Linked DNA regions of Oryctolagus cuniculus. The protein of the gene in region 6 interacts with the protein of the main gene of each other region in a pairwise test. Links are inferred from orthologs where the notes say so. Each region holds a gene or a part of one and is shown on either strand. Other genes may lie near its edges.

What was found.
Region 1: the proteins of ARID5A (region 6) and ATXN1 interact in binary tests that used the Homo sapiens proteins (3 or more experiments, as listed by UniProt). The link is inferred for Oryctolagus cuniculus from reciprocal best matches to the Homo sapiens genes ARID5A and ATXN1.
Region 2: the proteins of ARID5A (region 6) and RBPMS interact in binary tests that used the Homo sapiens proteins (3 or more experiments, as listed by UniProt). The two-hybrid records come from large-scale screens. The link is inferred for Oryctolagus cuniculus from reciprocal best matches to the Homo sapiens genes ARID5A and RBPMS.
Region 3: the proteins of ARID5A (region 6) and SOX5 interact in a two-hybrid assay, tested with the Homo sapiens proteins (2 studies listed by BioGRID and IntAct). The two-hybrid records come from large-scale screens. The link is inferred for Oryctolagus cuniculus from reciprocal best matches to the Homo sapiens genes ARID5A and SOX5.
Region 4: the proteins of ARID5A (region 6) and PNMA1 interact in binary tests that used the Homo sapiens proteins (3 or more experiments, as listed by UniProt). The two-hybrid records come from large-scale screens. The link is inferred for Oryctolagus cuniculus from reciprocal best matches to the Homo sapiens genes ARID5A and PNMA1.
Region 5: the proteins of ARID5A (region 6) and CKS1B interact in binary tests that used the Homo sapiens proteins (3 or more experiments, as listed by UniProt). The two-hybrid records come from large-scale screens. The link is inferred for Oryctolagus cuniculus from reciprocal best matches to the Homo sapiens genes ARID5A and CKS1B.

What each region holds. Positions count from the first base shown.
Region 1 is NC_091436.1:143,602,455-143,606,985, forward strand, and holds part of ATXN1 (ataxin-1), read right to left. Parts: intron 4,208-4,531; coding exon 3,677-4,207; 3' UTR 1-3,676. UniProt on the Homo sapiens protein: Chromatin-binding factor that repress Notch signaling in the absence of Notch intracellular domain by acting as a CBF1 corepressor. Binds to the HEY promoter and might assist, along with NCOR2, RBPJ-mediated repression. Binds RNA in vitro.
Region 2 is NC_091433.1:80,425,175-80,430,366, forward strand, and holds the start of RBPMS (RNA-binding protein with multiple splicing), read left to right. Parts: upstream 1-1,999; 5' UTR 2,000-2,281; coding exon 2,282-2,347; intron 2,348-5,192. Other genes in the region: collagen alpha-2(I) chain-like, read right to left, coding at 1,115-1,885.
Region 3 is NC_091440.1:121,152,462-121,157,663, reverse strand, and holds the start of SOX5 (transcription factor SOX-5), read left to right. Parts: upstream 1-2,098; 5' UTR 2,099-2,278; coding exon 2,279-2,349; intron 2,350-2,855; exon of another isoform or gene 2,856-2,998; intron 2,999-5,202.
Region 4 is NC_091451.1:19,888,268-19,893,349, reverse strand, and holds PNMA1 (paraneoplastic antigen Ma1), read left to right. Parts: upstream 1-1,765; 5' UTR 1,766-2,816; coding exon 2,817-3,878; 3' UTR 3,879-4,607; downstream 4,608-5,082.
Region 5 is NC_091438.1:43,534,276-43,539,583, reverse strand, and holds the start of CKS1B (cyclin-dependent kinases regulatory subunit 1), read left to right. Parts: upstream 1-1,908; 5' UTR 1,909-2,173; coding exon 2,174-2,232; intron 2,233-4,744; coding exon 4,745-4,872; intron 4,873-5,308.
Region 6 is NC_091433.1:111,160,316-111,165,466, reverse strand, and holds the start of ARID5A (AT-rich interactive domain-containing protein 5A), read left to right. Parts: upstream 1-1,815; 5' UTR 1,816-1,951; coding exon 1,952-1,955; intron 1,956-5,151. UniProt on the Homo sapiens protein: DNA-binding protein that may regulate transcription and act as a repressor by binding to AT-rich stretches in the promoter region of target genes.

The DNA.
Region 1 (4,531 bases), on a different chromosome or scaffold from region 6:
CCATCCCACCCCCTGCCCCAAGGTGGCCCAGGCAAACTCAAAGATTCTTAAACACATTCTAAGGAACAGTCATTTTTATATATTTAGAAATCCCTATACAGAGAGGTTCTTGTTTGTTGGTTTCTTATGAATAGTATTATTAGTTTTTTTTTTTTTCTTTTCGCCCTGACTAATTTCTTGGTGATTGTGTTCAGTTGTAAACACAGAAGGCCTGCTGTTAGTAGTTTAAAAATGGAAAACGGGAAAGAAAGCGAGCATGCGAGCCGGCTCTGAGGCACGCCTACCAAGTGGACATGGTGCACGGCATGCGGCTGATCCTTGGCAGTGGAGGGGCACTACAGAATTTCAACCCCTGTCATCCACAGGTTTGCTACACAGAGCGCTGGCCACAGCCAGGGGCACGCCAGCGTCGGGGGACGAGAGGGGGCTTCTCTGCCCTCTGTGCATTCTTCCTCTTTCAAGAGAAAGCTGCTACAGGGACAGAGACCATGGTTGGCAGGTGGTCCCCTCCACGGTCACGGGCCAGCACACTCAGCACGCATGCACACAACAGGTCACACTTGTTGCCCCACGCTCAGAGGACACAGGCCTCGAGACCATGGAAAATGGGTCGCCTCCAGCCTACGTTGCTCCAGAGTGCGCCCCAGAAATCCACCTGCCTCCTTCCTGTCCATGCTCCATCATCACTATTCCGTGTGGTTCTCCCTGGGGTCTCCTCAGCTGGCCCCATCCTGCAGTGGGGTGACAGACACTGGGGGCTCCTGCAGGCTCCTGCCCCAACACTCAGCACTCGCAGTGGGAAAGGCGGGAGGAGGCTGCCCTTCCCTGGCCAGAACCGGGGGGGAGGGGGAGGGCGGGGGGGGGGGAAGAGATTGGAAAGATCACGTGAACAAGGAATAAGCCTAAAAGGAATGAGCTTTCACTATAGCACACTGGTCAGATTCTATTGGCACGGAAAGTATTGCACATTCTAAAAAAAAAAAAAAAAAAAAAAAAAGCAAGAGTGTGTGAAATGGGACAGATGTTTAGAAAGAACCAATTGTTTTACAATTCCTATACCTGAAACAGAACCATGAAAAGCATGAGGATGTTCCTATTGCTCCAAACCATGTGTGTTTTCCCGTTTTAGTGTTGGGGTGGTGGATCCGGTCAGTTCAGTACGGAAAGTAAGCAAGAGGGGTATCGTGTCTCTCTGAGTCCACGTGAGTTGTAGATAGTGGTACCACTGAGAGCAAAGTCTGTGTGGCAGCCCCAGAGTCCTCTTACCATCAAAGGTTAAAAAAAACAAAAGGGAAAAACAAAACCTATTCATTGCAAGTGCCCTGAGCAGAATATATGGAAGATTAAGCAAGTTCTCTAAACGGAAATGTTTAAAAAAATACAACACTACAGAAGCAGTGTGACCGCGAGGGTGGGAGGGCCCACCAGGTCCCACCCCACCAGCTCAGCTAGAAAATTCAAGGAAAGAGTCTAGCTATTCTTAACCTACTCAGATGTTTTTGGTACACCCCAGAAAATGGTTTATAAGAATCATTAGTCCCTGTGAGAACCAAATGTAAAGGAATCCTAGGGAGCCAACATGTGGGTTGATGGTAGCATATTTTCTTTTGTAAATTCATAAAATGGCAGAAGTCCTATTTTCAATGGCCACAGAAACATCGAGTAAGTACTTTCTCAGGTTAGCTGCAGCCATCCAAACAACAGTCAAAAATTTCTCCCTGCTTATAAAACCTTTTTTTTAAGCATTTTAAAATGCACTCAAAACCCACAAATGATATCAGATATCTGGGAATGAAAGATGTAACCTATGAAATACCCTTTCTGGGTTTGTACCAAACACGAAATCTTGATTGGATTCCAAATAGAAAAAAAAAAGTCATCTGAAAACATTAATAACAACAATAGTAAAGTAAGTCTTTAAAAAAAAAAAAAAACTTGCTCACAAATACAAATGTTGATGGAAAACTCTCTCAGTGAGTCTGAAGACAGTTCTCCAGGTTGTCCTGCTGAGACCTGGCTTTTTGTGACAGAGGCGGCAGAAAGACCAAAGTGAATTCTGAAAGGAACATAACCTTATAAAACAGCCTAGAGCTTAGGCAGTTTAGAAAGAAATTCTGCTACATTTATTTATGCTCGTTCAGTCCCCCAAACCTTTCCCACAATGTTATTAGGTAAAAACTGCAGGAATATCACACCAATTATAAACTCAAGATGTGCAAATCGCAAGGTTCTTTAAAAGTTCATCTTAAAAGGAAAAACACTGGACAAAAATGAGGCTTCTCTCCATCCCTTCTCTCTGTTTCTCTGCCAACTCTGCATATATGCCTTTCACTCCTTCTCCAACATCAAAGTGACAAGTGCCTCCTGTCAGGTAGTACTTGGTGGTCATTTTCTGTCATACACTAGCTCGTCATTCACGTTCGTCCCTTTCAACCACACGGAGACTTTCCAAATCTTGCCGGGAGCAACTCTGCAGAGCTGAAATGCAGTTAACAGTGTTGACAAACAAAAAAGAAAGCAACTTAGTTTTTGTGTGTTGGTTGATTTTCTTTCCCGAAAGTTGAAAGTGAGATACAGTACTCGTTGAATGACACAGATCAAGATGCTTGATGATAAAGGGTGACAGGCATTGTAAGTGCTTAGAAAACAGGAATCTATGCTCATTTTCAGAATCGAATTCCTCGTGTCACACTGGAATCTGAAAGCAGTGGCACCCGTGCTGTCCATTGCCATGGACTCTTAAGTAGGACTGCAAAGACACAAAGACTTTGCCAACTCAGCGCGAGAGCTCCTGGTGCTCTCACTGCTGGGTGGTCTGCATCTACCTTTCTGGAGCCACAAGGCTAGGATCGGACTGGTTCTCCTAGCACTGCACAGAACCAGCGAGGGTGTTCCCTCACCCCAGCCCCAGCCCCCCATCATGGTGCAAGCTGTGTTGGGGGTGGGAAGGGTGATACGGGCAGGGCCTCCCTGCCCACAGCGACACCCTTGGCGACATCACTGCACTAGTAAAGCAGAAATGAAATCCCACGTGTGGCAGTTGCTCTTTAAAAAAAAGAAATATGTATCAGTGCAGTCAAGGCCCCATAGGGGGAAATATATCTCTATATGATTAAAAGTTGCTTTTATTGTAAAATGTGTTGGAGAGAAAAACGTTCTTTGAAACGGAGAGCTTTCCTTTCCATCTGCCGCCTGCCCTGAAGCTGGGGTCCTGATGTTGACTTTGAATGTGGGAACCCCAGGAGGATGCTGCTCTGTACCGCCCCCTACCCCCAGCCCCCGCTGAAGGCAAGAGGGCAGCACAGAGGGAGGCAGGGGCCGAGAGACCCTCTCACCCGCCCGCTGTGGCCCCCACGCACCCTCACAGGCACACGCCCCTCTACCCCTGCAGGTCCCTTCCCATTGGCCTCTCTCGGGACCCCGGCGGGCCCGGGCACCTGCCGGCTGCTGCCCTGCCTGCCAGTGGCCCACCCGCCACTCCCCGACAGACACTCGCGGACAAAGCGTATGCACCAGTCTCCTGCGACACACCTGCTGTAACTGTAATGACAAGGTTAGAACAGAAATCTAAAGTAAGAGGATAACATGTAAATACTGTGTTATTTAGCCTACAGTACAGTAATCTGGATACGAAGGAAGGGCACGGGACGGCCGCGGCGCCTCGTCCGCTCTGCCTCTACTTGCCCACGTTAGACCGGCCCTCGATGCAAATCTTGACCTCCTGAGGAATCAGAGAAGGCTTGGGAAGAGTCAAAGGCGGCTCGTCCTCCGACTTCTCCAGTTTGCGGGTCTCCGGCGCCGACCACCTCCTCTTCCTCGCGGCCGCGGGCCTGCTGGGTTCTACTTTCGTGAAGAAGGGTGCTGCGGGCAAGCCCATCTTCTCTGGAAACTTCAGTTCACCGTTCTCAGACAGCATCTGAGCGCTTCCCTGATTGAGCCCGTTCTCCTGCTCGGCGTACCTGTGTCTGCTGCCCGCCAGGCTGTCGGTCTTTGAGCGCTTCAGCAGGACACTGGCAGCATCTGCGGGCTGGCCCTTTTTAACAGAGCCATTCTTGGCGTTCTTGAGGGTGAGCGAGATGCAGACGTCACCTACTGAGAGTCTGGAACACGGCAGATCAAAGAGCTGGCTGGTTCTCTCCGGGCAGCAGGACGACCAGCCCTGTCCAAACACAAAAAAAGGATACTCGACCAAGACTTCCACGCTGACCTGTGGGAACAGGGAGAGACAGAGAGGCAGACAGGAGGGAAACCAGTGAGAGCTCTGTATGATTTCCTTCCTTCCCTTCCTTCCCTTCCTTCCCTTCCTTCCCTTCCTTCCCTTCCTTCCCTTCCTTCCCTTCCTTCCCTTCCTTCCCTTCCTTCCCTTCCTTCCCTTCCTTCCCTTCCTTCCCTTCCTTCCCTTCCTTCCCTTCCTTCCCTTCCTTCCTTCCTTCCTTCCTTCCTTCCTTCCTTCCTTCCTTCCTTCCTTCCTTCCTTCCTTCCTCCCCCACTCACACACACACACACAGGCTGCATGTTAATAAATTAGACT
Region 2 (5,192 bases), about 31 Mb from region 6:
TCAGGAAGATATCGCCCCCTCGTGGTTCCTCCTCTAACTGAGGGAGGAGCAGGCCGCGGACAGGGCTGCCAGCCCAGGCCAACACATCAGAAGGCAGACACAGCTTCCGGACTCCCCGTAGCCTCGCCCCTCGGAACATCTTCAGCTGCGGCTTCAACAGCCTCCTCCTAGGTTATTCTCATCGATGTGCAATGCACCTTCATTCCCAGAGAGATCGGTGACACCGTGGCAGCAGTTAGAGAAAAACTTTTTTTTTTCCCGGATAGAAAACTTTTCTTTCAAAATCTGCAGACCTCAAAGAACAAACCCGGTACATACCATGGTATTTCAAAAAAGCTCATGGAAAGATGGAATGAAAATATACATTTACCAGGCTGCAAAAAATTGGGGGGGGGGTTGGAAATTCATGCATAGTTTTTTTTCATAGTAAGCATTTTCCATGAACTTTGTGAAACTCTCTTGTAAATCCAAGAAGATTATTGAATGGCCCTTCCTGATCCCCTTAAAGCAAAAGATGTTTGTGCTCTGCCAGGATGTTGTTGCTTTGGAGTTGTTCCTGGTATCTGGTCTCCACAACTCCATTTTCAGCTCCCTACAGGCAGGGTCTTATCTTCTGCTGTCACCCCCACCCCCACCAGCACTCAAAGCTGTATAAGCTCTGGAGGGGGGAGGGGAGGCAAGATAAAGGGCAGGCCAGTCAATAAATAGAAACTGTGATAGGTGCTGTGCAGGAAGGAATTCCTGGGAGCGGGAGGCGGCGCTGAACGAACTAGTTGCGAGTTGTAAGGTTATACATTTGTAGCAGTCAAGTTTAGACGCATAACTGGACCCATAAGACAAAAGGCTCCAGGCCCAGAAGAAATGGAAATTTTCTTCATAATGATGTTAGCATCCATGTTGTAAGCCTACAGCGGGCAGGAGGGTGTGAGGCGTGCCCCCCACACTCCGGGGTAACTGCACCCATTTCACGGACGAGAAAATAAAGTAGGCAGTCCCCCAGAGGCGCGGCGGGAACACTAGGCGGGCGCCTCGCTTTGCCCGAATGCCTTGACCCTCCAGGGCTGCCTGCCAAGACTCGTTTAGAAAAGTGCCCACTGTGTGCCGGGGGGCTCATTTAAACAGCCGCGGGATTAGCCGGATAAACAGGGCTCGGTCTCCTTTGCCAGGAAGGCGCTCCCCAAAGAGAGGCCAGGTGAACAATCAACTCCAGAGCGGGCCGGCGGGGGGCTCGCGGGGGGCTCACGGGGGCCCGGCTGTCCCCGGCGTTCCTCCGTCCCGGGCCTCCAAGCCCTCGCCCCGAGGGCGCGACCCGCGTCTCAGCCCCTACCGGCGAGGAGCCCGGGGGCGCGCAGCTCCCTCGTGGAAAGCAGGCAAACAAAAGTGGCACATCCCAGCCCCCGGTCCGCGCACGGCCAGGGCCCGGCTCCCCGAAGCCCCCTCTCCGAGCCGGGGCGCGGGGGACGCCGCGTGCGCCCGGGGACCCGGCTCTCCAGCCTCCCTTGCTCAGCCCGCCCGGCCCTCGCTCTGCCGTCGAGCCGGGGCCGGGGTCGGCCGCTTCCGCTCCGCGCCGCCGCCCCTCCCCGGCGCGCGCCATCCGGCCCGGGCCGCGCCGACTCCGCGGCCCCTCCTCCCGCCGGGGGGCTTCGGCGGCCCCCGTCCCGTCCCTGCGGGCTGACGGCGGCAGCCCACGTCCAGGGAGGGCGGAGGGAGGCGGAGAGGGAGGGGAGAGCGGAGAGGGGAGGGAGGGAGGCGAGAGAAAGGAGCTGCAGCGGACTCGGACTTCCCAAAGCCGGCCAGGAGCGCGCAGCCAGCGGCTCTCCGCGTCCCAGCGTCCCAGCCGCGGCCGGCGCCTCCTCCTCCTCCTCCTCCTCTCCGGCCGCCCCATCCCTTCCTTCCAGCCTCGCTCTGCTCCGGCAGCGGCAGCCCCCAGCCCCAGCTCTCCGCGCTCACTCCTGGGACGCGCGCCCTCGCCCCATCCTCTCTTCCTCCCTCCCTCCCTTCCTTCCTTCCCTCGCGCCCGCCCTCCCGCCCCAGGTCTCCCTCCCGGTCGCGATTGTCTCCGCGCCCCGCTCGGCCGGCCCGCGCCCGCGCCCTGCCCGCACTTCCTCCCCGAGTCGCCCGCCGCCGTCGTCTGCGCGCCGCGGGAGCCCAGCCCGAGCCTTCGCAGCCCCGCGGCGCCCGCCCGAGGCAGCCCCGGCGCCCCGGGGAAGGCAGAAGCGGGCGAGCGCGCCCTCGCCCAGCCCCGCGCCCCAGCCCTGCCCGGCGACGAAGGACCGGGAAGATGAACAACGGCGGCAAAGCCGAGAAGGAGAACACCCCGAGCGAGGCCAACCTCCAGGAGGAAGAGGTAGCGGTGGCCCGGGCGGGCGGCGGGGCGCGTCCGGGGGCCGGCGCGCCGTGGCCCCGGCTGGGTGCGTCTCCAGGGCGCGGGTTCTGGGGGTGTCCGCGCACCCTGCGCTGCGTGACTTGCAGAACTTTGCGGAGACACCCTCCAAGTAGAATGCTCGGCTTTGTGTGCCCGGGATTTTAAAAGCGGAATCGAGAGCTGACTCCTGGGTGACCTCAGGTTACTGGGACCCGAGGGTCAGGGCTTCTCTGAGCGCCAGGGGCTGGAAGCCGGCGGGAGGGAGTGCGTGTGTCTGTGTGCGTGCGTGCGGGCGGCTTTGGGAAGGAGTTGGGGAGAAGCTCTGTTAGGGGCTGGCGCTGGCGCCGGTGTGAAAAGTTCTTGGCCAAGTCTCTCCGGAGCCGGGGCGTGTGTGGATTCATCGATAACTCGCCGCCCGCGAGGCGGGAACCCCCGAACCCCGGGCTGTGGTAGACTTCGGGGGCGGGGTGTGGATGTGGGGAGCAGAATGAGAGGGGCCGAAAGCGTCGCTCCCGGAATGCTGGCCAGGACGCTGCGGTAGGACTTTGATTTGGGTTGTGCGTCCGGGATCCTGGAGGGGAGACAGCTTGCAGTTGGGGGGCACTTGCCTTTGGCAAACGCGAAGCCGAGGAAGTGTGGGGAAGGGGTGTGCGGGACGCACGTTCCAGAACTCCGTAGTTAGGGGATGATTGTGGGGTTTCTCAAATGACTGTTCCCGCAGCCCCAGAAACAGTGCCTCCGCTCACTTGCTGAGTTCCCTCGAAGTTGGGGCTCTCAGCCTTCCGCCAAGAGCTCGCGCGCGTGTGTGCGGGAGCCAGAGAGCGTGCGGTGCGCGCGGGCGGCGAGGCGGTGCCGCAGCGCCGGGCCCGAGAGTTGGAAGTGGACCTCGTGCAGGAATCCCTCAGCCCTTTTAAGTCGTCCACGTGTAAAATTGGAGCTATTTAATTAAATAGGAGAGACAGGCGAAGACCATGCAAAACAATGCAAAAGGTAGCGCCGTGGAGCAGCGTTGTCACCTGGGTGAGTTAGTAAGCTGAGAATTGGCTCCTGGAGGAAATCGCCTGTTTTATGACAAAGCTTTATTTTGAAAAGCTGTTTGCCCCTTCTTGTTTGGTGCCTGCAAATGTAGGACTACTCGTGACAGTGCTTTTAAAAAGACACCAAGGCTGGAATTCCAAATTCCACTTTCTGGCTTCTCTACTGTTTAGTTTATTTTCCCTGTCCTTTAAAAACTGAAAAATGATGGCAAATTTGCATTTTCAGGAATTGGCATGTGCAGCTAATTCACTTAACCCGTCAAGAGAATCATTGCTTCAGAAACCTTTCTGTTCCACTTAGAGTGGCAATCTGGCCGCTCCTAAGTGTGAGAGTGTATCTTGTGAAACAATCTTTCTCTGTTAACCAGTTGAGGAAACTTGTAGTTAAGAGAAAGTTCATCAGACTGCAGATTTTTTTCTTTTTCTTTTGGTAGTAGCAAAATGGGCTCAGGTGTCTCGAAAACCATATCCAATTAACTTAAAATCGAATGGACGACAGAAGTCAGATTTTTCTCTTGACCCATGCCAGGTGAACTGCCGCCAGGATTTGCCTGGATGGGCTCGGTTATCGCGAGGTTGTGGGTCCCTGTGATCAGAGGCCATCCAAGTCGCAGGCATTGCTTCTAGTTTCCCCAGCAGCGTTCCTTTCCGGGTGGGAAAGGCGTGGGCTCCTCCAGGTGTAGGTCTTTTTAGCAAAACGCTTGTTACTTAAAAAATAAGACAGGAGGTAGGAAGGTTTCAGAACCCAGGTTGTATAAGAAGCGAGAGTATACACTGCGGATACACCCTGACCAGAGAGGGTTTATGGTTGACATTCTGGTTTTGAAACACTAACCTCCTCTCTCTTTCTCCCCCTCCCCTTTTTTTTCCTAACCCTGAAAGCCACAAGTTAAATAAATATGGCATTTGGTGGGTGCCATTCAGTGAGCTTAGCATTGCACAAAATCCCACTGCACTGGCCGCTTTGCCTGCCCACCCAGAGGAGCAGCGGTTTGTTTTCAGAAAGCTTTGGCAATGGGCCGCAGGAGACAGGGCATACACGTGTAACACGGACACGCACACACCAGGACAGGAGGGCTGTTTCTGGTGACTTGTGAACGGCAGTGGACAGTGAGTTCCAATCACCGTGAGAAAACGGTCGATGTTGTGGTTGTCAGGGTGCTTCGGCTGTTTGCCACCTTGTGCAGTCCAAGTTGTGTCATTTTCTATGGAAATGAGTTCCTTTTATCATCCAGTGTATTTTAACCCCGGTTAAGAGTTTCTGATGCCGACCCTGAAAAAGATGCCTAAATCCCCGTTTAGCTCCAGTTGGATAGAATGAGCAGTCCAGCATTTAGGAGAAATTTCTGCAGTTTTTGGTGGTGGGAGTTTTTGAGAACTTGAGCAGAATACACTTTGGATATCATGTAAAACTTTGAGGAAAAATAATCTTCAGTTCCGGCTAGCCGGCCATGTAAGAGCAAGCCAGGATACCTGGCCTTCCAACGTGTTACACATGTGTGTTCCTGTGCAGTTGTCCCTGTATGGAATCAGTCATCACAATCTAACCGGGACCTGGGATTTCAAAAGCTTATTTTTGTACATTTATTAGATCATTTCTCAAGTCATTTTGGAGTTTGTCTCTAATTCTACAGATTTTATTGGAATTGATAAATCTAGAAGTAACAGACTCATAATTGTTTGTCTTACCTAATCAGCTATCATTCACAAGTTATAATATGTTCAAGACCATCTTGTCCTAAGAAATAATTTGTCACTGACTTTTCAAAGTGGAAATATTCTTTTTTGGA
Region 3 (5,202 bases), on a different chromosome or scaffold from region 6:
AAACATTTAAGACATAAAATGAGTTTAGAGGTCAAACAAGAAAAATAGGAAAGCTTATGGATTTAATTCATATTCACCCAAGCAAAAGAGCTTTGTCAGGAAAGGAACCAGTGAAGAGACTCGGGATTCTCATAAGCTTGACAAGAGTCGCATGCCACTGTTGGGGAGCTGGGGTTGATAGATGCTCATTATCTCCAGTGCTTTACTCTTTATTTTTGGAGTTCTCATGATTATGATGGCAAATACTTCAGTTCTGAGAAAGTTCCAAGTGTGCCTATCTCTCACATAAGAAGCTGTTGTTCTGGGAGTGATTTGTGCCTTATGTATATGTTCTTTTCTCTCTATTTTGAATAGGGCATACATAGTGTCTGCTTTGTAGATTTTTCAGCAGCTTCTGTAGAAACAGGCTGCAGCCATGTCTATAGGACACACAGCAAGAAAGTGAGAGCCCTGGCTGGGTCTGAAGTTAGCAATGTGTAAACCATTCGTTGGCTGGGCTATTTGGATTCCAAACAGTGTAAGGGATCATCATATTTCTCTTCATTGGGCAACTTAGTCCTCAACAGTGCTGGTGCTGACACTTAGTTCTCCTTTAAGCTGTGAGCAGCCTCCCTTCTCATTTCTACTCAGAGAAAATTGTTCTCCAGAGGTTTGCTCTCGATGGCTTAACTTGCTTGATTTCACAGTGACCTTTGAAAACAAAAGAAATTAAAACTCGATTGGTTACCTAATTACTTTTGTCTTCATTATTAGATACTAAATAAATTAAACATGCCACAGATTTTATTTCAAGCCCCACACCATGCTAGGAAGAAATCACTGTTGATTATGGAACAATCTGCTATGTCTTTGGACTTATCCCATAATGAGAGAGAGGGAGGCTGGAGTGCAGTAGCGTAGTGGGGGAGGGCGGCTTTAAGAGGAAGCCCAGATAAGGACGTGGGGAAGGAGGTCAGAATAACTACTTCAGTGTATTATTTCAGAAAGTGAAATTTTATTTCCTCTCCATAGTTTTGCCATCGCAGTAATGTGAAGTTCTGGTAGGTCCATTATGACCAAACTTCCTTCCAAACGTGTGAAATGATAATTTTACAGAGGACTCGGTATCACTGAGATGCAGAAGGCACTCTTTCCTAATCAAAACAAACTTATTTGCATATGTGCCTCTCCCGACCAGACCAGTGACGTTCATACTTGAAAATCCGTCTTTCCCTATGAATGTGATGGACATGGTGAACTATTTTGATAAGTTGTTAGAAACATGGCCACACATACTGTATGGAAACACACACATGTGCGTATGAACACCTCTTCATGTGGCGCACATGAGGAGACAGTGGCTGGCATTACTGAGAGGTGAGTGTTTCTCAGTGCAGTGTGATAGTTAGGCATCACACACCACACTTGCCTTTCCTTTACGTGGGAGAACGAACCTGAAGGAGTTTGCTTCTGCTTCTTCATCCTTTCTTTTAAAATACACAAAACTTTCAAGCAAATACCTTTGCACTTTATGGTAAACGAAAGCATCTGATTATGATTAAATTAACCTGTGCTTAGGTCCTTGCTAGGTTCTTTAAAAAAAGAAAATAATTATGGCTATCAACGTATCATTAGATAGTCAAGCCTTTTCTCTCCTCTTCTTCATCTTCCTTTCTTCCTTCTCACCCCCTCACCCCCTGCCCTGGCTTTTTCTTTTCTTTTCTTTTTTTTTTTTTTACCCTGCCCTTATGCACACACACATGGCTGCATAGACACACATGACACAGAAACCTCTCCAACTTCCCTGACAGGTTCATTCAGGGATAGAACAATAGAAATGGAATTAATCCCTCTCTCAGTAGCAATTGTTGTGATAGAAAATGGAAAAGATACTTCCTTGTTATAGGGTTTCTATAGACAGTTTTAAAAAGAAATACAGTGTTGAGACTAGATGAGCATTTCATACAGTGTTCTTTCACTGTGTATCCAGCTATCTATAACCTGAAATTTATACATGTGGCAACCATATGTCTCAGAAAAAAAAAAATCCAGAAGACTTCTGATTTTGAAGACTTTATTTCTGTAAGCCAGAAGTGCACAATTACTTGTTAGTCAATTTGTTCAATCACTTCTCTGAACTTCTGGGTCAGATAAAATGGTACTTATACTAAATAAAAGGCATGAGTTTTTGTTTGGTTACTTTACATTATTAATACAAGGCTTATGCAGGGCATACTACAAGAGATAATTTTTGCTAATCACCAGCTTCTGCTCCCCTCCAGTGCTTTCTGTCCCAGGAATGGGGTATGTGGCTACTCTGTGCTCAGCTTCCAGACACACAAGGGCCGAGCATCTGGGGAGACTCAGGAGGTGACCACTTTCACGCTGACTCAGAGACCAGCCGTATGACTCCAGTCTGGCGCTGTCACGCCTGGTTATGGAAAGGAAGAACAATGCCTCCCTTGAGAAAGGGGAGAAGTCCAGTGCAGTCACAATTTTGATGTAAAATTTAAATCATCCCTCCACATCCTGTGGACTTAGAGCTGTCAGAAAGGCAAAAACCCATGCTTAAATGGAAAAAGCTTTTTATTTCCTCAAAAAGTATACTGTCTTTAACTATAAATAACAAGTTCTAGAATCATAGGGCTTCATGCTAGATTATTTCCAGCAATTTATAAATAATCAGAACAAAAGGACTTTGACATTTTTAACCTGTAAATGGCTGAAGGTTAAACATTTTTTTCTGTTTGTGATACATGACAAGTATGTAATAATACAGGAGTTAAATAACACACAACAAATTATTATGTATGGACTTGTTTTTTTTTTCTCTCTAACTGAGACATTTGGTCATTTTATGTACAACTTAGCAGAAATTTCTCTCCAGCATTTAAAGGTCTTATCCATCTTTATTATGGTTTCTTCATAATTTCATGTTGAAATTTAGTATATTTGGTGATTCTAGAGATTCTGTGATCAAATGATTAATAATTCAAACACAGGAGCTTCTGATTTTGAGGTAAGGACATAAAATTGTCAGTGATTCTAATGAAGGTGAAGAAGGAGGGCTCTTTCTTAAATAAAAGTGTTTATTGCCAGATTCTTAAAAATCACGAGAAAACTTTGATAATATTTTCAAAACCATCTAGAATTGTGTTAAACTATCTAGCTCTTTGATTTTTGAGAGTGATTTTGTATTTAGGAATCATAAAACTCTCTTAAATATGTGTTCATTTAGTCTTGTCAGATTTATTACAATGAATTCTAACATCTTTCCTAAGTATAAGAACGTTATGGAATGATTACAATACAGTTTAATGAAACTTAATGTTCTTTCTGCCTTCCTGTGTATCAGGAATACTATTGTTTGAGGCACTTAATAAATGTGGATTAATTTAAAAATAATATAAAGGCTAAAGATAAGAGGTTTTAGCTGGCACACTTACTTGCTAAGATAAATTTTATTTCCATAGCCCAGCTATTATTATGTCATTCATAATAAAGCAAATTTTATTTAGAAAAAATTTGGGGGAGTTTTCAGCTTTAAGACATAGCTTTATATTTTGGAGTAAAATACATTAAGCTTAGAATTAGGGAAACAGTAAGAGAATAAAACAGTGAAGATGAACTTTTTAAATATTTACTTTTAAAATTTTATTTATTATTGGAGGCAGGGAGAGAGATGGATAGACAAAGATAGAACCCTCATTCATTGATTAACTCCCCAAATGCCTACAGCAGGTGAGATTGGGCACAGCCAAGGCCAGGAGCCATGAACTCAATCCAGCTCTATCATTTAGGTGCAGGGACCCAACTACTTGAGGCATCACCTGTTGCTTGCCAAGGGACACATTAGCAGGAAGGTATAGTCAGGAGCCAGGGACAGGTGTAAAACCCAGGCACTCCAAACAGGCATCTTAACTACTAGGTCAAATGTTTGCCCCAGAAATAGGTTTTGTGTTCTGAGTCTCTGTAGAAGGGATTTTACTGTCATTAATTTGTACTTTAAAAACGCCTTTCTATTTTGTTTAGAAACCACAACAAGACATCTTCAGTTGAATTTCAATGCTTACTTTAGACATGTTAATTCAAGCATTTCTGAAATATCCTGTGCTTAACTAATAAAGAAGCACATATTTCATTCAGATATGGATGGAAATTAAGTTCTATTTCTGAGTCTTATCTATCTTTAACTTCAGTTTTTTTTTTCTTTTAGTTTTACCACTTGCTGGGAGAAAATTACTGCTCCTTTTTTCTTTTCTTTTTTTTTTTTGCTCTTATCCTCCATGCATACCTGACATTGTTGGGATAATAGAGGCCAGGTAACAGATTCAGGCAGAGAAGAGCACAGAAGTGGTGAGGACGTTCCAGGGACACCATTCTCATCAGATAAGAGGAATGGTGCCATGATATTCTTGGTTACAATGCAGACACCATCTCAGACGTGAAACATATGACAGTGGACAAGAAGGGAACAGCTTTGAGAAAGAGCCCTTTAAAGGCTGTTGGTAACTACAGCATATTTGGTTAATATTTTTAAATACAGCTTGAACTTTTATAATACACAATGCAATATTTTGTGCAAATTTGTATTATATTTCAGAACAGAATATTAAATCTGTTCACAAGTAGCTGTAGCTCAAAAATCAATTTTTTTTTTAGAAGTACATGTTAGGGTGCATTTTGTTGATCTCTGATGACATACACAGTAAGGATTAAGAGGAAGACTGGTCTTTTTTTATTACGTGTTGTCTGGTTTTGAGATTTCTATGAAATCTGTGTTTCTGTTTCCATCTGTATTTTATGCCAGGACCTGATGAACTTGGCGATGCCTCGGAATAAGAGTACAAGGAGTGAGGTCTTTGTGAGTGGGAAGTGACGGGTGGAGAAGTATGGAGACTGGCACGTTCAACATCAGAAAAGAGGATTAAGAGGAAGGAGAAAATGTTGTCGACGTTTGATAGACTGCATGTTTACCACAAATAAACTTTCTATTTAAGGGAGTTCTGGATACTCTTTATGACAGACTTGGTTATGAAATTTACATGGAACATTCACAGAGTAAACCCACAGCTAACTCTTAATTTAGTGGGAAAATGAAAATGTTCATAACCCATTAGAGGTAAAAGGAAAGAATGAACCATAAATACAAATAATAATCATCTAAAATTACAAATAAATGAAACTGACTTTTCTTTAATAAGGCATAATGCTAAGTTTGTG
Region 4 (5,082 bases), on a different chromosome or scaffold from region 6:
GCTCACAGAGACCAGACCAGGTGAACGTAGCCGGGGACCTGACTGTGAATCCCGACAGACACCGGATTTGAGGGGCTGATGCTCCAGGATGCATTTGTTCCTCAGATGCGGTGGGGAAGGAAGCTGTTTCGGGGGCAGATGCGACCTGCCAGTAGCGTAGGTGCAGCCATAGAGGCTGGCAGAGGCGATCCTTAACGGTGCTTTCTTCTCCCTGGGAACACCCTAGGCTTGTCTTCTGTTGCTTTCCCTCCTATTCCGAGCTCTTTGCTGTAAGAAGTTAGACGAGAGACACCTCTAGCTTTGTAATCTCCCCACGCCGCCTCCCCATATCCATCTCCCAGTGTCCACCTGCCGTCAGCCACCGGCGTGACACTGCCCTAGTGCCTGTGTTCTGGACCGTCTCTGAGGTCTCTCCCATCCGAGGAGACGGTGACATCGTTCTGTCCTCCATGCCTTCGGCAGCGCCCCTCACCGCTGAGGCACACACTCGCCCCTCTGCCGCCGCACCTCCGCCCAGGCACGGAGGTCTCGTGCTGCTCACGGCCAAAGGAACTGCCCATACTTAACTGCCTCAGTGACCTGATCTCTCATGTGCCAGATGCCTAGATGAAGAAGGAACACAACACATCCCGAAGCCTCGGCTGTTTAGCACCCTCTCCACGGGGGCCCGCTTTTCTGGACAGTATTTATTACTAGACTGGCAAGCCTGACTCCTTTAGGTTTACAGGAAGTGTGCATATTTTTATAAAACAAGTGTCCTCCCCCCCCCATTTTGCTGTGTTACTGTTTGCCTCTAACGATTTGCAGCTGTTTCTGTTTCACCTTTTACTCATTTGTCTCCAAGTTGAAGGCCTTGTAGGAGGGGACAGCCTTGACAGTCTGTAATTATTGTACAAATATTTTAATAGCATATAAAGAAGTATATTCCTTTTATTTTGAAACAGATGATCAGACACTGCCTTTTGTGTGTTTGCTGCCTGTGGCAACCTTTTTTAAAAAAGACTGTTACATATGAAAATGGTGTACATATATATAAATATATAAATATTACCTCTTTGGCTGTACAGTTGTGATAGAGCAGATGGAAGATTTTATTTTTTGTGTGCTTTTTATATAAAAATTAATACACTAAAGAGAATCTTGCTGATGTGATTGTAATGTACCTATGTAACTTATTTACTTTTGAATGTTCTTCTGTATCTTTAAACCTTTCATTAAATAAGGTTTTAAAAATTCAGAGTTGGATGCTGTGTTCTTTTGGGGGATTTTCATCCTCTGAGATTGACCGAAGCGGCCCTTGCTCTGGCTTGAAGAGTACCCGAGGCAGGGATTACAGAATACTGGTGCGTTGCCAGCTGTAGGTAGGTAGGTGGCCGGCCTTTTGACTAAGTGTTAGATAAGAGGAAGTGGCCGGCGCCGCGGCTCACTAGGCTAATCCTCCGCCTAGCGGCGCCGGCACACCGGGTTCTAGTCCCGGTTGGGGCGCCGGATTCTGTCCCGGTTGCCCCTCTTCCAGGCCAGCTCTCTGCTGTGGCCAGGGAGTGCAGTGGAGGATGGCCCAGGTGCTTGGGCCCTGCACCCCATGGGAGACCAGGAAAAGCACCTGGCTCCTGGCTCCTGCCATCGGATCAGCGCGGTGCGCCGGCCGCAGCGCACCGGCCATTGGAGGGTGAACCAACGGCAAAGGAAGACCTTTCTCTCTGTCTCTCTCTCTCACTGTCCACTCTGCCTGTCAAAAAAAAAAAAAAATTAGAAAAAAAAAAAAGATAAGAGGAAGTGTCCAGTCTGTGTGTCACACAAGTGGGATACTTGGGAGCCTTCGTTTCCTCTGGATGAGATGCCGTCCACGCACCTGGCTTGATGCGCCAGTTGCATGAGCAAGTCAGCCACCACGGGTGATACCCACTAGTATCTGAAATCCGCTCCGGATTAGAAGACAGAAGCCCTCGATGCTTATTGGTATTTTTTTTTTCATTGTAAAAGTCTGGAACATCTGATGGCTGCGGTACCATGGCAACCGCTCCCCCCACCCCGCGCCGCTGCGCACGGAGTCTTCGGGAGCGCGTCGTCCGGGACACCGTTGCCATGGTCACGCGCGCGCGCCTCGCCGGCGACCTGGATCCGGTGCGGCGGCCGCGGCTCGCGGGCCGGCCCCGCCCTGCACTGCGGCGGGAACGCGCCGGCTGCCGAGCTGCGCCACAGCCGCCGCAGCCCGTCGCGCCACGCGAGCCCGGCCGGCCCCACCAGCCTTCGCCTCCCGCCTCGCTTCTGCATCCTTCCTGCGTCTTTGCTCCCCTCAGCCCTCGGTTTTCAGCGGTCCTCGCTGTCCGGAGGGGTCCCCGCGCCCGAGAAGAAGCCGCTGCTCGCCGGCTGGCCCGGCTGCCGCCGCGGTGACCTCGGACAGCCTCTCCCGCCGGGCCCGGCACGCCGAGCGCTCCTTCGGGCTGCCGCTCCTCGCCCCGCTGAGGGCCGGGCTCGGACCGCCAGCGCCGGGGCGACTCCGGGAGCGGCGGCCACGCCCCGCGGCCACACCCCGGCGCTCCCGGGCCCCGCGGCTCCCGCAGGCTGCACTCTGGGGCCGCAGACCCCGACCCGGGACGCGAGATGGCGACAGCCGCGTGACTGACTGAGCCCCTGCGAGGCCGCGCCGGGGAGCCGCAGACGGACAGCGGGGCTTGGGTGTCGCTTGTTACCAGCGACCGCGGGGACCTGCCGCCCGCGCGCCTGCTTGCGGGGAGTGTCTGGTGTTGGTTGGAGTTCGGGGAGCCGCAGTCTGATCCGTATCTGTCGAATCGGTACCTTTGATAGTTGGGAACATGGCGATGACGCTGTTGGAAGATTGGTGCAGGGGCATGGACGTGAACTCCCAGAGAGCGCTGCTGGTTTGGGGGATCCTAGTGAACTGTGATGAGGCTGAAATCGAAGAGACCCTCCAGGCTGCGATGCCCCAGGTGCCGTATCGAGTGCTTGGGAGAATGTTCTGGAGGGAAGAGAACGCGAAAGCAGCCTTATTAGAGCTCACTGGCGCTGTGGATTACGCCGCGATCCCCAGGGAGATGCCTGGCAAAGGAGGGGTGTGGAAAGTGCTTTTTAAGCCCCCCACGTCTGACGCTGAATTTTTAGAAAGGCTGCACCTCTTCCTAGCTCGGGAGGGGTGGACCGTGCAAGATGTTGCCCGCGTCCTTGGGTTTCAGAACCCGGCCCCGGCCCCGGGCCCCGAAATGCCAGCCGAGATGCTCAGCTATATTTTGGATAATGTTATTCAGCCTCTCGTGGAGTCCATATGGTACAAGAAGCTGACGCTGTTCTCGGGGAGGGACATCCCGGGGCCTGGGGAGGAGAGCTTTGACTGCTGGCTGGAGCACGCTAATGAAGTCATAGAGGAGTGGCAGGTGTCCGACACAGAAAAGAGGCGGCGGCTGATGGAGAGCCTCCGGGGCCCCGCCGCCGACGTCATCCGCATCCTCAAGACCAGCAACCCCGCGATCACCACCGGCGAGTGCCTGAAGGCGCTGGAGCAGGTGTTCGGGAGCGTGGAGAGCTCTAGGGATGCGCAGGTCAGGTTTCTGAACACGTACCAGAACCCGGGAGAGAAGTTGTCGGCTTACGTCATTCGTCTGGAGCCGCTGCTGCAGAAGGTGGTGGAGAAGGGGGCCATTGATAAAGAGAACGTGAACCAGGCCCGCCTGGAGCAGGTCATCGCCGGGGCCAACCACAGCGGGACCCTCCGAAGGCAGCTCTGGCTGACCGGCGCTGCGGAAGGGCCGGCCCCGAACCTCTTCCAGCTGCTGGTGCAGATCCGTGAGGAGGAGGCCAAGGAGGAGGAGGAGGAGGCTGAGGCCGCGCTCCTGCAGTTGGGCCTGGAGGGGCACTTCTGAGCCCCAGGAAAGAGGGCTGCCGTGCAGACCCGGCCCGCAGCTGCTGTCCTGGTCCCGAGTAGTAAAGGCCTAGCTGCCTGCTGTTTTCGTTGTGTTTTTCTTGGAGGGAGGGGGTTCTGGCCTGCCCGTTCCTGTAACTCCGCCGACACTGCACAGAGCATGGGGAGCTGCTACAATGCCGATGGGCTTGCTGGCTGCGGCGCCCGCTGTCGACATGCCGGCACCCTCGGCTGTGACAAGTGTGAACCCGTGACTCTTCCCATGGAGATAAATGTGAAGTCGCACGTGCAGATGTTTAGCCCAGGGCCTGGCTCGCAGGAACCGTGAACCATCACATTGTTATCAGCGTCGAGGCTAGTGTGTGTTGACTGTAAATCATTCCATGTTTATATTAATGGAAAGAAACGTGCATTGTTTAGGTAATACTGCTCAGCCTCACAGTGCAAATCTCTTAGTGCTCATCTTTAAAGAGCCGGATCTGTGGAACAGAGTGTTCTGAGACTCCAGCTGGGGCGCTGGAAAAGGACTGCAGTTCCGGAGCTGTGCTGATCAGAGGTCGCGCAGAGAAACCACCTGGGGAGATGGCTAGGACCCGGTGACAGTGACCCACCCATCCCCCCACTCCCCTTCCAGTCCTTGTCAAAATAGTTCTTGTTCACCCAGATTTTAAATGTTCTACATTTGAACTTATCAAATAGATGTATAAGAATAAAAATATTTTAAAAACTATCGCTGTCTAGTTTTTCCAACATATTTAACATTTTTCAGTGTAATTAAGCTGTTTTCTTTTTTCTTAGGAAAACTTTCCCCCATGTCATAAAAAAGAACCTTTTACTTAAAAAAAAAATAGTGAGATGGAGCGCTCCCACAATGTGTGTGTATTAATGTATCCAATATTTATGTGTTCTTCAAGGCTAATGTTAGGCTATAAACAGACATATAAGTACAATATTAACTTACTAAAAATTTTTAGAAAATCCTAAAAAAGGCTCAGGAGATAATCTAGAAATAGTTGTTTTTCCCTTCCCTTTTTATATTTTTTAGCTAAAAATTTTTGCTTCACTGAAGAAGTGGAGCCATTTTATATCAACATATAAAAGGGAAACACAGCTTAAGGTCATGTGCACTTGGCTGCAGATGTCAGTGACAAGATGACCATCCATCGAGACCCTCAGTAACCCCAGTGGTTGCAGCCATGTTAAGA
Region 5 (5,308 bases), on a different chromosome or scaffold from region 6:
AGCAGTGCCCCTCACACCAGGGGAGGAGTCACCAAGCGATGGAGGTCAGGAGGCAGGCAAACATGTGGCAGTGAACCATGTGCGGAGAACAGTCCCAAACCTCCAAACCTCCGTGGCTTCCTGCCACAGCTCTGCTTGAGGAAGCCTTGGAGGAAGTTGGAAAATGACCAAAACACAAGAAGTAGATACCTCTTCCCCTAGGCTCACCTCGGAATTACCCTTAGCTCTAAGTCAGAAGATTAAAAGAAATCTATAACGATGACCAATTCTAGCACTTAAAATGTGCTAGATACGCTCTCACCTCCTCTTCGTCCTCATGGCAGGAGAATCTGTCACTCTATTTCCTAAGACCCCAGGCCGAGAGAAGGAAAGGTTTCTTCCACAGCCACACACACACACACACACACACACACCCTCATCCTTAGGGTCAGCACTCTCTGGAAGCCTGCAGTATGGGCAGGCAGAGGATGACCAACAGGTGTGAGCATTTCAAAGAAAAGAGGGAGTCTGTCTCTAAATTTGCATAGGGAGAAGTGAGAGCCTACTGGAAGTTCAGGTGATTGGGTGTTGGAGGGGGGAGCCCAGCAGGGAGGAGGCGGGAGGAGCGGGAAGGGGCAGGAAATGGCGAAAGCCTGAGGAATGTTTCCAGCAGGGAAGGCAGGACAAGTGGAGCCAGGAGGAATGCCCAGACAAGAATTTTGGCTGGGGGTGCGGGGGATGGAGCCAAACAAGTAGAGGCTGAGGAGTCCCTTAAAAGAAAAAAGAAAAAAAAACAGGATACAAATCCCTAACCCCATTGCAAACCACCGTTTTCTGGTAGTACAAAGTTCTCTCTCCTGTCACGTCCTCAAGCCACACATCAGCAAATCCACGGCCCTGTCTAGCCACAGCCTCAACCTACAGCTGTTTCTGCGGTGGGCTGGGAAACTATGAGCAAGCCTCTGTCCCGTCCTCGGGCCAAACCCCAAGCCCAGGCCCACCCTTGGGGGAGGATAAGGCTGCCTCTAATCTCACTCCTCAGAGCTCCCACCTAGTGGAGCGGGAAAGCCCTCGGGAAAACTGAGCCCAAGGCCCCAAGAGAGAAAGGACAGGAAACGTAAGCAGGTGGAGCTTCTGAGACTGAGGAAACTGGGGTGATGACTTGGGTGCCACCCGGATCGAGTTCCTTAGGGGGCGTGGCCCTCTAGGATGCGCAGCAGACTTCCAGGAGATGAGGCTCCGGGACAATCGGACGTGGATTGCGGAAGGGGCGGGGCTTCTATGGGCGGGGCCTATCGAGGGGCGTGGCCTCAGTGAATTCGAATCGTTCTTTCAAGAGCAGAGCTTTGCCCTTTTGGGAGATAGGATCTTTGACAGACAGGAGTTAGCGGAGAATCGTCGCGAGGAGGAGGCGGAGTTTGGAAGAACTGGGAGGACTAACGAAGCGTTTCTTGTGGAGCTGGAAGCATGTCTGGGGGTGGGACTTCCAGGAAAACTGGGCTACAGGGAGGGGTCGGAGACAATAAATTTAAAAACTGGGGTTCAGGGAGCCCCCTGAAGTTGGGAGGTGGGACTTCCGGAGAGGGGGTCTCAGGGGCGGGACTTAGCAGTGAAGACCGGAAGTGGGGTCCCGGGAGAGGGGTTCCGGGGTGGAGGAGTGGGTTGCCTAAAGAGAAAAAAAAAAGTGAAAACTCACCAGGGCCTCATGGGGTCTCCGCACCGCGCCGCGGGCCGATTTGGTTCCGGATCACGCCACTGCCTGCTTAGGTCGCCGCTCCAACTTTCTCCCCGGCCCGGCCTCCCTGGAGAAACTTTATTACACTCACTTCCGGCCTCACTAACCCCTGACCCTCTACCTCACGGTCCCTCCTTCGCCCCGCCTAGTTTCCTGAATCAGCCAATGGTAGCGCGAAGGCGCTCACAGGCGCCGCGATAACCAATTAGAGGCCTAGCTCTGACCCAAGTTTGTGCTTGAGAAACGTAAGAAGCGCACTCCAATAAAGACTGGAGGAGAAGCAAATCCTAAGCCAATAGGAGGCTCGAAGGTGGAGCTGTCCCGCCTTGAGCCCAAAGGACCAATGGGAAGTGCGGGCGGTGTGTTTGAAAGCGAGGCCAAAGAGGGTGGGAGCGCGTGCTGCTGGGAGTTGTTTGGAGGTTGGCAGCGCGGGGCTGACGGCCCGCAGGCAGAGCGATCATGTCGCACAAACAGATTTACTATTCGGACAAGTACGACGACGAGGAGTTCGAGTACCGGTTAGTGCCGGCGGGGGGCCGTAGCGAGGTCGGGAGAAGAGAAGGCACGAGGAGTTGGTAGCGAGGATGGAGGCGACAGAGGGGGCGCATGCGCAGGAGACCAGCGGGGGTGGGTGTGAGGTTGGTGGAACGCGGAAGGCGCGTGCGCGGGGGGTGGCCGGCGCCCTGGAACAGTGGAGTCTGGAGTCAGCCCCCGGTTGAGGGGAGGCGTGATGAGTCCGACCACCTTCACCCTGTGGGTTTCTGGGTCTTGGTCTCAGCTTCACTGGGAGCTGCTGTGGAGTCTACTGGGTGAAGGTGTCAGCAGCGGAGCTGGCCTTTTCCTCGCGTTCTCACTGCGAGCGGTGAGAATGCTGAGGAAGTTAATGCTGCTTATTCTTGGGGAAGGAAAGAGGCGTGGTTGTCTGGCTTGTTTTAGGACGGGGGCGTCGAGGACCGGGCCGGGGATTAAAGTGCCGAGAAGCACTGAGAACCAGTGGAGTGCGTGCAGGTTTCACTTGTTTACTGGATGTGAGCATCTCACGGTCTTTAAAATTCTGAGCAAGAATCTGGCAGACGGCTGGAAGAAGGTGGTGGGCCTGCGGAGCCCGGGCCGTGAGCGGGGCGTGGTGGGGACACACAGCCTGGCAAGGAAGGGGCGGGGGCTCCCTGGAAGAGCCCTCAGGTGACACTGTAGCAACGAAGGGAAAAGTACAGCTTGACCAGAATTGTCCCGGAGGTACTGGATGGCCAGATGCCCAAGATGGGGGAGCGTTTGGGTTTGATAAGTTCTGAGCCCATAGGAATATTAGATTGGAAAAGGAGGAAAGACAGAATTCTACAAGTGTTGTCGTCACACTAATCTGTATCAATTGCAATATTTAAGACGGCTTGCGGCTTTTATCTTGCCTCCTGGAATGGAGGGGGAAATGGAAGCTTGGTTTTCTCGTGCCTTCCCTCAGCCCGGTTCGGGCTGTGTTTACAGACACATAACCAGCTTCAGGCTGGGATCATCCTAGATCCTTCTCAGACTCCATTCCTTTTATTTCCCTCAGCTGTTTTCCTCTACATCCGAACTAAGCGAACTCCAACTGTATGCTTATGACGTGTTTGCAGGGCTGGGAGACATCACTAGTTTCGTCCCTGGGAAGATGTAACTGTTAGTTTGGCAGTGGCGTTTTGGTTTAAGAGAGGGGTTTGTTTTGTTTTGTTTTAATGTACTGAGGCCAGATTTTGTGCCAGGGGCTGGTTAGAATGTCAGCTATTTTCAGACATTTAGACTAGAATTATCTCTTTAGGAAAAAAACCTCTGATAATTAGTGCTGAGGGAGCATTTAGGACATTTTTGTTGCGTGTGATGAAGTGTATCTGAATGAGTCCAGTTCCAGTCAGAGGAGTCATTTCTTTGCCATGGAGACTCATCCTTGGTCAGAGAATCAAGTCTCATGGCATGCCCCTTCAGAGTTAGGAAAATGAGATTCAAGATTTTTGAAAGAAGACTAACAGTTCACCTCTGTGATGTGTCTTCCACACCCCACTTTATCGATGTTAACATTTCATGCTCTTTGTAGGGCCTGTTACATTGTGGGTAATTACTAGAAAACCCTAAGATCCACAAAGGCACAGAAAATGAACATCAACAGTGCCTGGCACTCAGTCACTGGAAGTACTCATTCGCACTCTTTAATATACCCTTGCGAGGAGCCTTGTTGTGGCATAACGGGTTAAGGCGCTACCTACAATGCCATACGGGCACCAGTTCAAGTTCTGGCTGCTCCACTTCCAATCCAGCTCCCTGCTAGTGTGTCTGGGAAAGCAGCAGAGGATGGTCCAAGTCCCTGGGCCCCCGTACCTACATGGGAGACCCAGATGAATTTCCTGGCTTCTGGCTTCAGCCTGGCCCAGCTCTGCCTGTTTTGGCCTTTTGGGGAATAAACCAGCAGACAGAAAATATCTAACTTTGCATTTCAAATAAATAAAATTTAAAACTATATATATAGTCTTGTGAGAATTTTTATAACTTGGCCTATATTTTCAGCTGCCTCTACCCCACAATAAGATTGTATAAACTCAAAGGCCGACACTGTGGCGTAGCGGGTAAAGCCACTGCCTGCAGTGCCAGCATCCCATATGAGTGCCGGTTTGAGGCCTGGCTGCTCCACTTCTGATCCAGCTCTCTGCTGTGACTTGGGAAAGCAGTGGAAGATGACCCAAGTCCTTGGGCTCCTGCATCCATGTGGGAGACCTGGAAGAAGCTCCTGGCTTCAAGATTGGCACAGCTCTGGCCATTGCGGCCATCTGGAGAGTGAACCAGTGGATAGAAGAACTCTCTCTCTCTCTCTCTGCCTCTGCCTCTCTGTAACTCTGCCTTTCAAATAAATAAATCTTTAAAAAAAAAAAAAAAAAAAAGATTGTATAAACTCCAGAAGCCAGTTTCTCTTTTTCCTTTCTTGGCTTTATATACAGGCACTTGTCCAACAGGCTGTATCCAGTACTAACACAAATGCCCCATCTCCCTATGTTTCTGTTGCAGGCATGTTATGTTGCCCAAGGACATAGCCAAGCTGGTCCCTAAAACCCATTTGATGTCTGAATCTGAATGGAGGAACCTTGGCGTTCAGCAGAGTCAGGGATGGGTCCATTATATGATCCACGAACCAGGTCAGTGCACTGGCTAAATGTAGCCAGATAGGACTACTATACTGAAGGACTGAAGGAATACCATCACAGAACCCAAGAAAACAGGAGATGGGGGGGGGGGGGGCCCGTTTCCTGCTCCTTTCCCGTTTAAACAAAGCTGTAGTGACTGAAAATAATAGTAATATGTCTGGGAAGTTCAGAGACAGCCTGTCACTAAATTCAATCAGAGGGCACTCTTTTTAAGCCCACATATACCCTGGTTATGGCTTCTGCTTCATTTCCCACCAGAAAGCCAATTCTTGGATGTGTTCCAAATAAGCCAAGGAAAGTATATTTCTTGATAAGACACCAGACACCACGCTGCCAGGCAAAACTAATAAAGGACACCCCAGGGCAGCACAAACACAGCAAAGGAACTGATGCCAATAATTCTCTGCTTGGCAGACAGGCCCGACTT
Region 6 (5,151 bases):
GAACCAGCACCCATGTGGGATGCCGGCACTGCAGGTGGCGGCTTTATCTGCTATGCCACAGCACTGGCCCCAAGGGCACACTGCTTTAATCACCATTACAACCATTGTCCTTGGGGGCTGGCATTGTGGCGCAGTGGGTTAAGCTGCTGCCTGTGATGCCAACATCCCATATGGGAGCACTGTTCCAGGCCCAGATGCTCTGTTTCCAATCCAGCTCCCCGCCAATGTGTGTGAGAAAGCAGCAGCAGCTGACACAAGTGCTTGGGCCCCTGATGTCCACGTGAGAGACCCAGATGGAGCTCCAGGCTCCTGACTTCAGCCTGGCACAGCTCTGGCTGGGAGTGAACCAGGGGTTGGAAGATCTCTTCCTCTTGTCTCTTCCTTTCTCCCTGTCACTCTGCCTTGCACACAAATAAAATACATTTTTTAAAAAAGTGGTTCTAAATGTTGACTATGATGTATGTGTTACAAAATCTAGGAGAGCTCACTCTTACAAATCGACCACTATGAGGTTGACGAGGGGTTTAGCCTGTGCAGTCCACAGTGCTGTCTGCTCTGGGCTGAGCCTGCAGCTATCTGCCATCCTGGGGCTAAAGGGTAAGGCCAGAGGATCAGCTACACCTATTGCTGCCTTGGTCGATTTGTTTAGTGTCAAAGGGAGCAACCGTAATCTGTATCGGGGCTGGGCAGGCCAGGGTACAACCACAAGTGCAGGCTGTCTGGGTATAAGGGATCCTCTTCCAGGCCCAGATGCCCGTGTCTGGCTCTGGCTCCATGTCCTATCATCTATCTTATTTGCATTAATCTCTCAGCCCTCAGTTTTATCCTGAAAAGAGAACAATGATGGTGTGAAGGGCATAGAGCTGTCATGAGTATTAAAAATAATCCAAGGGGCTGGCGCTGTGGTGTAGCAGGTAAAGCCACTGTGTACAATGCCAGCATCCCATATAGGCACTGGTTCAAGTCCCGGCTGCTCCACTTCCAATCCAGCTCTCTGCTATGGCCTGGGAAAGCAGTAGAAGGTGGCCCAAGTCCTTGGGCTCCTTGCACCTGCATGGGAGACCTGTAAGAAGCTCCTGGCTTCAGATCAGGCCAGCTCTGGCCATTGTGGGGAGTGAACCACAGTGTGGCCATTTGGGGGAGTGAACCAGTGGATGGAAGACCTCTCTCGCTCTCTCCAGCTCTGCCTTTTAAATAAATCAATCAATCTTTTAAAAATATAATCCAAAAAGTCTGCGTGCAAGGAACAGAGTTCAGGTCCCAGCTGGCTACAAGTTTATACCCCGCCCTTAAGCCCTGAACCTCACTTTCTCCTCTGTGGCCTGCACAGGTCCGAGTTACTGCTGGCTCCGTGCCTCTTTGCCTCCACGCACCCTAACCCTCATCCTCACCTATTTGGACCGGCTCAGCCTGGAGCTGCCACCCTGTCCATGTGACCTGTGTGGACACTGGCCATGGAGCCAACCTCCTCTCCTCCTATGCTGTGCTGTGGGAGTGCCCAAAGCCACTTTCAAGTCAAAGGCAGGCACACTTTGCTCACCCCACCAAGTTCTCAAGGCTCTGCTGAGAGCAAGGGTTTTCCAAGACTCTAGTTTTGCTTAGAGGAAAACCAAGGCACAAGGTAGCAATGATTCTTGGTTTCCTGCCTCAGCTTCCCTGGGTGAGGCGTCTAGTCCATTCCTGGTGTCCTGGTCGTTACCCCGGGAAGAGGGAGGTGCGCACTACAACTCCCAGAGATCTTCGGGTACAGGGGGTGGCCCCTGCCCGTGGCTAAAAAACTGGACCCGCCAATGGGAGCTCAGAGTGGGGCGGAGGCGGTGCCCTAGCGGGGCGTGGCTGCGGGGAGGCGGCGGGCGAGCGGCTCCGCGGGCAGTCTAGCAGGAGCTCGGGGTGCGGAGAGCCGCGCGCGCGGAGAGGGTCCCGAGCGGGCGCCGCGGGACCTCGCCCTGCCATGGGTAAGCGGCCCTGCGACCCGGTCGGCCCGGGGCTCGGCGGCCCCGCGGGGGAGGACGCCGGCTCTCGTGGCCGCTGGTGTGGCTCTGGAGGGGCGCAGCGGGGCCCGGGGCGGCTGCGGGGCCGAGGGCGCGGGATAGCGAGCGCCGTCCGGGCGCCGGCGTCCCCAAGCCCGTCGCGGCATGTGGGAGGCCGGGGGTGCCTACGCGCGCTCTTCGGGCAAGGGAAAGACTAAAAGTTTTGGCGGCCGGGGGGCTTCCCGGGCGTTGATCTCGAAACTCCTGCCGCCGTCCCAGGGCCGAGATGTACCAACCCCGGAGGGTTCTGCCGCCCCACTTCCTGCTGCGGTTTCAATCTCGAGCGGGTCCGCTCATTTGTTGTGACAGCTGTCAGCAGCGCCGTCGCGGCCCCCGCCCCCGCGCCGGCCGGCGGTTCTCAGAACCGCCCGCGCCGCCGAGAAAGGCGCGCCCTGGGCGGCCGCCGGTTCCTGAAAGTGGCCGCGCGGGTTTTCAAGAACTCGCTCGAGCGCGCTGGGAAGATCAGTGGCGGAGGGGCGTGCTGCCACCGCCCGTGTGGACTCCGGGCTCCCTCCCCAGCGCCTCTGTCTCCTCTTCTCTTCCCTTGGGTCTCCAGAAGGGAAGGGGGTGGCGGCGGGGAGCCAGAGGGGCGGAGAGGGCCGGCGCGCAGGGAAGGAGACGGGCTCCGCTTTGCGCTCAGCCGGAGTCGGGCGCAACCCGGGCGCCTCCGCATGGTCTAGGGCTCGCCGCCCTCCTCCCCGCGGGCGCAGACCCCTGAGAGCTCCTGGCCCACCGTTGCTGGTGCCGGCAAGGAGGGGTCTGCGGGACCCTGGGGGAGTGTAACAGGTGCTTGTTGCTTCCAAGCGAGCTGCCCTGCTGGGAGCCAATCCACGAATGGGTGTGTGTGTGGGGGGGGGGGGTTCCTTGTGACTGCAGGTAGCGCTAGGGCGGAGAAGGAACTGAGGCCGGGAGACCAGCGTGGGTCTGGCAGTGGGAGGCCTCCAAGAGCCCTCCCCTCTCCTCCTTAGCTCCCGTTTGCCCACGCGGTGCCATTTCGGACAGGTCACTTAACACCTTTCTCCATGGATGGGACGGACACCTAGGAAACAAGTCAGGGTGGGAGCTGCTACTGTGGGCAGGGAGGGCAGTGGGGCCACTCTGTCCTGGACTCAGTTCCTTAAGGACACTCCAGAGCTAATTAGAGAGGGCCAGGGAGCCCCCTACTTGGTGCTTCCGCCCCAGGCAACACCCCCATCTGTCTGTACCCTCTCAAGGCTCTTGGCCCCAGCTGCCCCCAAACCCTGTCCCTTTCCCGCTGTGAGCGGAGGTGTTGAGGGGGCTGGGCTGTGGCGGATGCTGTGCCCTCCATCGTCAGGAGTCCCACGTGCAGCTCGTCCATCCGCAGCACTGGCTCCAAACTCTGCCCTGGAGCAAGGTTCGAGTGGCAACCGCCAGGCAGCCGGCTCCCAGCCACGGGGTGGATGGGCCGCTTCCAAGGCTGTCTTTGTTTCGGCTCCAGCTCTAAGAAACCAAAGCCAGCAACCTCGGGCGGGGGGTGGGGGTGGGGCCGTGTCTGCTGGTTGTTATTGAGGCCGCTGTTACCATTATTGTCATAACTGACGCAGTGTTCCCAGTCCGTGACTTTTCATGAAAGGAAGTGGCACTTCCTTCCCAGCACGCCGAGGGGGTAAGTGGGGCGGGCCAGAGAGAGGGGGAGGGCAAGGGGTGTGTCACACTTCTTGCCTGGGCATCAGGGGTACCTTGGGCACAGGCCGAGGTTTCAGGAGCACCTGCCGAGGTGGGCAGCGGGCAGGACAGCAGGCGTCAGTCTCGCCCAGGGGTGTGTGCGTGCAGGCTGGGCTGTGGTTTGTGGCGAAGCCTCTTTTCTCGCTTTCTTCTGCTTAGAACCTTGGCCCATTGAGCGTAGCGCACCCAGCGCACAGATGGGGAGACCGAGATACAAAAGTAGTGACTGGTTCAAGTTGCAGCTGTGTGGTGCTAGGGCCTCACTGAATCCCCCTCCTGCCCCACTCTCACTGGATCCCAGCTGTTGTCTGGCAGGGTGGACAGAGGGCAGGCTCCTAGGCCACCGACTGCCCCATGCCCTGTACCCACCTTCTTACCCCAGCTAAGCTCCTCCTCTGGGAACCCTCCGCCCCGCCCTGCTGCCTTCACCTTCCTCCCAGGCAGGCTGAGCCCTGGCCAGGGGCCGGCCCCCGGCTCTTTCAGCAAGCGGTTTGTTAGAGAAATCTCAGTAGGTATCAGCAGTTCTTCCTTCCTCGAGTCTGTGAAGAGGACACCTCCTATGCAATGGTGGGGACCTCCTGGGCCAGGGCAGCTGGGCCCGAGGCGGGTGGGGGTGGAGGTCTCGCCCTGGCTGCAGCCTGCCGCCTCGCGTCCCACCACTTGGCTCACTTAGCAGTCGACACAGACCAGCTCTTGTTGGCAGAGTAATGGTGACGTGATGCAGATCCACTTGGGGACAGAGGGCAAGTTTCTGCCCTCTGAGCTAGGAACTTGGGGTCTCGGCGATCCCCCCAAAAAAGAAGCCAAAACAACCCTAGATCTTAGGGTGTCTTGGAGCAGAGGGCTCTCGTGCTGAATTGCAGCCCTAACACTGGTGGGCTGTGTGACCTTAGGCAGGTTCCTGAACGTGGGCTCGGGTGCGACATCTGTTAAAGAGGGAATAACAGCCCCTGGGTGGCTGGGAAGATTCAGGAAGGCTACGGGGCAAGGTGCCCGCCCCGAGGCCAGCCAGAGTGCGGGGCGGGTGGCGGGGGTGGGGGCGGGGTTGAGTCTGGGAGCTGTTGGATCAGGTGGCGTGCACAGCAAAGCTGAGAGCGGCCTGAGACCCAGATGACTTTCAGGCACATCCGGGGGTCCCAAACGGACCTCCCCACTGCTGTGGTTTTAGGGTCCAGGGGTTGAGCTGGATTCAGGCACAAGCCGTGAAGCTGAACAGAGATTAAGATTCATAACACGAGGAGGACCTGGGGCCATCCTCGGCCCAGAGCCCGTAGCCACGCCCACTCACTGCCTGGGGGGCGGGGAGACCTCCTCTTCTGGCCCAGACGCCCAGCCCCCTTGGGCCTCTTCCTAGTGGCGAAAGGAGAGAATCGCAGGGGGTCCATGGCGTGAGGTCTGACGGCTGATGCCCAGGGGCTGGCTAAGCCCGTCTGTG